Linked DNA regions of Callithrix jacchus. The protein of the gene in region 2 purifies or fractionates together with the protein of the main gene of each other region. This does not show direct contact. Links are inferred from orthologs where the notes say so. Each region holds a gene or a part of one and is shown on either strand. Other genes may lie near its edges.

What was found. Proteins that work in one complex are often made in the same cells at the same time.
Region 1: the proteins of TUBGCP2 (region 2) and LGALS3BP purify together in Homo sapiens (affinity purification with mass spectrometry; 3 studies listed by BioGRID and IntAct, counting the BioPlex papers as one, with this or other methods). This does not show direct contact. The link is inferred for Callithrix jacchus from reciprocal best matches to the Homo sapiens genes TUBGCP2 and LGALS3BP.

The regions. Positions count from the first base shown.
Region 1 is NC_133506.1:134,719,276-134,722,368, forward strand, and holds the end of LGALS3BP (galectin-3-binding protein), read right to left. Parts: intron 2,648-3,093; coding exon 2,395-2,647; intron 2,119-2,394; coding exon 987-2,118; 3' UTR 642-986; downstream 1-641.
Region 2 is NC_133513.1:126,624,818-126,628,470, forward strand, and holds part of TUBGCP2 (gamma-tubulin complex component 2), read right to left. Parts: intron 2,728-3,653; coding exon 2,520-2,727; intron 2,217-2,519; coding exon 2,017-2,216; intron 1,694-2,016; coding exon 1,504-1,693; intron 1-1,503. UniProt on the Homo sapiens protein: Component of the gamma-tubulin ring complex (gTuRC) which mediates microtubule nucleation.

The DNA of each region.
Region 1 (3,093 bases), on a different chromosome or scaffold from region 2:
CCCGACCACTCCCGGAGGTGCAGCCCTGACCTTGCCACCTCAGCACCCTTTCCTTCCTGTCAGACATGAGCAGGGGGTCATGCTCTCAAAAGCACACACACTCATAGGCCCAGCGCAGTGGCTCATGCCTGTAATTCCAGCACTTTGGGAGGCTGAGGTGGGCAGATCACCTGAGGTCAGGAGTTTGAGACCAGTCTGGCCAATAAGGTGAAACCCTGTCTCTATAAAAACACAAAAATTAGCTAGGCATGATGGCGGGCACCTGTAATCCCAGCTACTCAGGAGGCTGAGGCTGGAGAATCACCTGAACCCAGGAGGTGGAGGTTGCAGTGAGCTGAGGGTGCACCAGTGTGCTCCAGCCTGGGTGACAGAGACTCCATCTCAAAAAAAAAAACAACCCACACATCTATGCACCCACAATCACACACCCACGTGCACACACTCAGAGGCACGCACCCTCTGCTTGTGTCACACTGTGTCACTGCTCCAGGCTGGGATGTGCTTCCTGCTCCCTGTCTCCCCCACTAGCCCGCAGCTTCATGAGGACAGGGACTCTCCCTCATTCCCTGCCCCCCAGAGCCTGGAACACCCGATGTCCCAACACGGTATAGACCCAGTAACACTTTCTGTACAAACAGATGTAGCAACCACAGTGTAACTGTAATGATCTCAGAGCAGTGACAAAGGCAAACTGAGTGGGGGGGTGGGGTGGGAATCCCAGAGCAACCTCGACCTCGAGGGCGTCTTGGTGCTTCCCAACCTGGAAACTGGTGGGCTGGTGGGAGAACTCCTGGTGCACACTTGTGGAAGCTTCCCAGTAATTTCTACAAGCTGAGCTCTCGGGGGAGTAGGGGGACATCTGGTGGCCGGTTGTTGAAGGTTGTTGCCGAGAGGAAGGGAGCCAAGAGAGAAGCCTGCAGCGAGGGCATCCTGGGCTTCTTGGGTTCTTACCACCCTTGCTCCTGCCGGCCCCTGACCCACGCCATCTAGTCCACGCCCGAGGAGTTGGTCAGGTAGAAGGGGCGGATGACTGTGCGGAAGCTGCTGAAGTGCCCTGCTGGGCAGGGGAAGAAAGAGGTGCCCTTGGAGCTGTTGGTGTCCAGGGCGCTGGGAATCTCGGCCTTCCGACCCTCGAAATCAGTGACGTCTGCCACGAAGAGCCCTTCGCAGAGCATGAGGGCTTTGTTTTCGTAAGCGATGGTACTATCTGAGGGGCCCGACTTGGTGAGGCCCAGGACAGGCAGCTCGTCCGAGGAGCATGAGAAGCCATAGTTCCAGCAGCTCTGGATGGTGGGGAGGTAGACCAGGGACCAGGACACCCACTTGTCCTGGAAGAGGAAGCTGGGGTGTTGTGGGGTCTGGAAGGACTGGTAGGGGTAGTAGTATCTGTAGTCGAAGGGGGCTTGGATGGCATTAGCAGAGTATTTGAGTGAAGAACCCACTGTGGGCCGATAGACCAGCTGTGACTTCCGTGCACTCCAGCGACTGTCCGTCACAGAGGCACTCCAGGTGGGCGAGGTGTAAATCCGGGGCTTGTAGGCATCCTCAGTGAGGTTCAGGCCTTTGTACCGGGCCAGCAACTGGAAGGGCACGGTGTGGAACTCCAGGGCCTGCAGACTCTTCTTCTGGAACAGGGCCTCGTGGCTCCAGTACAGGGACAGGTTGAACTGCAGCTCAAAGAGCTCCTGAGGGAGCATCATGGGGAAGCGGACCTTCTCCACCAAGCCCTCCAGCTCCTCGTGGGAGGCATGCTCCTCCCAGCTCCAAGTGTCCACGGCCTTCAGCAGGGCCAGCTCGCTGGGCACAGCCAGGTCGCTCCTGAGCAGCAGCAATTGGAGCAGGTCTGTGGGGACACTGGGCCAGGCCTCAGCCTGTGTCAGGGCCTCGAAGTTCCAGGCCAGGAACTGAAGGCAGAGCTTCTCCAGCAGGGGGTCCCCAGTGGCCACTGCGTAGGCATACAGGTCCAGGGGCATCTGGAATGAGGGGTCCCGGGGGAGGAGGATGGCAAAGAGGCTTCCGCTGTAGCCCTGCAGCTGCTTGGCCCCATAGGCAGAGGCCAGCTTGTGGAAGCACTTAACCGATGACAGGGTGATGTCGATCCTTCGTGAGTAGAAGTACCTGGGAAGGGTGAGGGAGAGCTGATGCCGGCCTCACAGGACAGCAGGGGAGCCCTGAGCCCGCCTCTCCAGCACAGCCATCTGCGGCACACCAGAGTGTGTACAGCGTGGGAGCAAGTATGCGTGAGTGCAACTGTGTGAGTGCATGTGTGACTGCGTGTATACATGTGCACACATGAGTGTGTGCAGGTGTGCATGTGCGTGTGGGTGTGCTTTTGAAGAGGGGAGGAGGACAAAGCCCCTGGCGGCCCCAGAGCCTGAGGACAAGACAGCTCACCTGAGAAAGTCTCTGACCATGGGCACGCACTCAGCATCCACATGCATGGTGACATTGCTGCCCGGCTCCTCCCACAGGGCCTGGGCCTCCAGGTTGGCAGTCAGGATGACTGTGTGGCCACAGAAGCCCAGGGCGTCCTCACCCTGCACGCTCACGTTGATGGACAGATCGCAGCCCTGCTGGCTGTCAAAGATCTGACCAAGGGCCTCTGAGAGCTCTCCAGAGAGGTCCAGGGTGTGGGTGCTCCTGGTTTCTAAGAACGGGAGGGAGGGAAGCAAGCTGTGTTAGGACCCGGGGCGCTGCCACTCTCTGGGGTCAGCGTCTTCATCTAAAAGTGGGGATTTGTGTCTGCCTCATCCACTCTGGAAGGCTCCTGGGAAGATGAGGAACAGGAGAGACCTGCAGTTTCGGATCCCTGGGTCCTGAAACCCCACCCCTTCCAGCCCTGAGGTCCCACCCATTCCAGCCCCGAGCCCCACCCCTTTCAGCCTCGAGGTCCCACCCCTTCCAGCCCCGAGCTCTACCCCTTTCAGCCCCCCCCCGAGGCCCACCCATTGCAGCCCCCGAGGCCCACCCCTTCCAGCCCCGAGCCCCACCCCTTCCAGCCCAGGGTCTCACCACTTCCAGCCCCGAGCTCTACCCCTTTCAGCCCCCCAAGGCCCACCCCTTCCAGCCTCGAGGCCCACCCCTTCCAGCCCT
Region 2 (3,653 bases):
ATATCGCTGTAGAGAAGCCGACAGACCCCACCAGTTCAGGAGGTCCTTGCACCGAACTGGCTGAAGGGCCTAACGAAGGCATTTCACGTCTTGCACACAAAGAGGAAGGCCCTAAGCAGCTGCCCTGGCCGCGTGGGCAGCAGGTGCACGTCTGCCCAGTGTGTGCTTTCCGGAGACCACAAGCAAAGCAAGGCTCTGACCCCAGAGACAGCAGCACACACCCTCCATGTCCCCCATGTCCTCAGGAGCCCTAACTATACAGGAGAGGGCAGCACGTATCCTCTGTGTCCCCAGGAGAGCCCTACCCATATGGGAGAGGGCAGCACACACCCCTCTGTGTCCTCCATGTCCCTACCCATATGGGAGAGGGCAGCACACACACCTCTGTGTCCCCCATGTCCCTACCCGTATGGGAGAGGGCAGCACACACCTCTCTGTGTTCCCCATGTCCCTACCCGTATGGGAGAGGGCAGCACACACCTCTCTGTGTCCCCCATGTCCCTACCCATATGTGAGAGGGCAGCACACACCTCTCTGTGTCCCTGGGAGCCCTACCCATATGGGAGAGGGCAGCACACACCCCTCTGTGTCCCCCATGTCCCTACCCGTATGTGAGAGGGCAGCACACACCTCTCTGTGTCCCTGGGAGCCCTACTCATATGGGAGAGGGCAGCACACACCCCTCTGTGTCCCCCATGTCCCTACCCATATGGGAGAGGACAGCACACACCTCTCTGTGTCCCTGGGAGCCCTACCCATATGGGAGAGGGCAGCACACACCCCTCTGTGTCCCCCATGTCCCTACCCGTATGGGAGAGGGCAGCACACACCCCTCTGTGTCCCCCATGTCCCTACCCGTATGGGAGAGGGCAGCACACACCCCTCTGTGTCCCCCATGTCCCTACCCGTATGGGAGAGGGCAGCACACACCCCTCTGTGTCCCCCATGTCCCTACCCGTATGGGAGAGGGCAGCACACACCCCTCTGTGTCCCCCATGTCCCTACCCGTATGGGAGAGGGCAGCACACACCCCTCTGTGTCCCCCATGTCCCTACCCGTATGGGAGAGGGCAGCACACACCCCTCTGTGTCCCCCATGTCCCTACCCGTATGGGAGAGGGCAGCACACACCCCTCTGTGTCCCCCATGTCCCTACCCGTATGGGAGAGGGCAGCACACACCCCTCTGTGTCCCCCATGTCCCTACCCGTATGAGAGAGGGCAGCACACACCCCTCTGTGTCCCACATGTCCCTACCCGTATGGGAGAGGGCAGCACACACCCCTCTGTGTCCCCCATGTCCCTACCCGTATGGGAGAGGGCAGCACACACCCCTCTGTGTCCCCCATGTCCCTACCCATATGGGAGAGGGCAGAATGCGCCCCCCATGTCCCCGGGAGCCCTACCCGTGTGGGAGAGGGCAGCACATACCCCACCATGTCCCCAGTAGCCCTACCCATATGGGAGAGGGCAGAATGTGCCCCCCATGTCCCCGGGAGCCCTACCTGTACGGGTCATGGATGATGCCCCTGTAGATCCACTTCTCCAGAACCTCGAAGTAGGGAGCACTGGCCGCCTTGGTCAGGTACAGGCACAGCTCCTGCGCCTGGCTGTCCCCAGTGTAGCTGAAGCTCCTATCGTGAAGCAGGCTCAGCGTGGATCCCCCAAGACACTCGCCTTTGTCCACTGAGGTGGCTGCGGGGAGGAGGGAGCTTACTGCTGAGAGGGAAGCACACGCTCAGACTGCCAACGACCCTGCTGGGGCCTCCTGCACTTCTCCTGCCTTCTCACTGGGACGGTGCTGCGTGTGTGGGATGTATACAATCTGCAAGGTTGTAGCTGCTGATGAAAGCTGACCAGTGAGAGCCCCCAGGGCTTTCCTCTCGCAAATAACAACACACGGAGCCACATGGGCTTTGGCTGCAGGCTCCTCGCCTGGGCGGCGGCTCCACAACACGCTGGGTGCTGCATTGTGACACCTGCCACCCACTGCCCCACTCTCCCCAGCGGGCACGCACCAAGGGAGGCGAGGATGTCCATGGTGCGCATGGCCGGCTGGATGTAGAACCAGAGCTTCTGCAGCGACAGGAGGCCCTGCCTGTGCAGCTGCTCCAGCTGTGACACCAGAATCAGGTGCTCCTTGACCAGGGTGCGCATGGCGGCTGCCAGGGCGTGGTTCACCTGCCCATACTCAAAGGAAGACTTCTCTTCGATGAACCTATGAGAAGAGCTGTCAACTTCTGCAAAAAGGCAATCTACATCCAGATAAAAGGTCAGATATTCTGAGTCTCATCCCTACACAGGAAGTAAATGACTCACTCAAATCCCACACCCCAGAGGGGAACTTTTGCCCCTACGAGGAGATGAGTCAGGACCCTCCAAAGCTGAGCCGGTCACGGAGTTGTCCCCAAGGTGGGGGCTCTCTTTAGAAGGGTTGCAGATGTCTCCGTGGACATCAGGATGGGCCCTGACCCCTCCCTCACGGCAGTGTAAGCCCGCAGGGACTGCGCCCGGTGCCCACCTGGTCACAGTGGAGTAGCTGGCAGCCACCGGCAGGATCCTGTTCACCAGCTCCCTGATGGACAGGTCCAGGTTGGGGTCCACAAGGAAGGTCCGGCTCTGCCTCCCGGCCAGGGGCTGAGCAGTAACATGCCTCCCGTCCACGCCCACCAGCACATACAGCAGGTCCTCCACCACGGCTGACTCCTGCGAGGCTAGGGGCAGCGTGCCTGCGGGCACAGATAGCGCTGCAGCTCCTTGGCCCCCACCCCACCCCCCACTGTGCCCTCATCCTCGGTCAGTCTCATTCTTGCTCATTGTTATAATGCCCCAACTGACTGTTTATGGGAATGAAAGGTCAGCCTCTGCGTTTGGCTCTGACTGACCCACTGGGGAGCTCAGTGCTTGGCTGAGTTCCACCCACTGCAGGTCGGGCTGGCCTAGGAGACGCGGTGGCTCACGTCAGGTCTCACCACATGGGACTCCGAGATGCTCACACACGTGCCTGACATTTGAAAAGATGAAGTTCAGGGTTTAAAAACCAACTCCAGCGGAGGTTGTACTTTCAGCATTTGTAAGTACAACTTGGTGAGTCTGGGTTACTCTGGGACAAAAAAAAAAAAAAATCAACGTTGTCTTTGAAAAGCTGTCATTTAAACGTTAGGAAACTGATCATTTCTATCCACTCGTGTGAGACGGCTGCAGGACAGACAGCTAAGTCTCCTTGTAACCACCCAAGCAAACCTCGAGGACGGCCGCGGGCCATCCACCCACCAAACCCTCATGTCCCAGGGTGGGTCCGTAGCTCTCAGTCCATAGCGGGGGAAGCAGCGTGTTGAAACAGTCCCCAATGGGCCTGACAGGGCCCCGGTGCCAGCCAGCCCGCACCAAAACCAGGCCCCAGCCGCTGAGAATGGCTCCGCAGAGCACACTTCCAGTTTACACGACGGCTCTGTCAGCCTCACACCTCTGTGACTGCAGGCCCTGCGGCTCGGAGCGCAGCTGCAAGCAGCACCAACATGAGTCCCTCGGCGACAGCGTCAACCACGGCGCAGATCCAGTTTGCTTCCCTTTGTTTCTGAGACGAATCTTGCTCTGTCACCCAGGATGGGGTATGGTGGTGCGATCTCAGCTCACTGCAGCAGCCTTGACCACC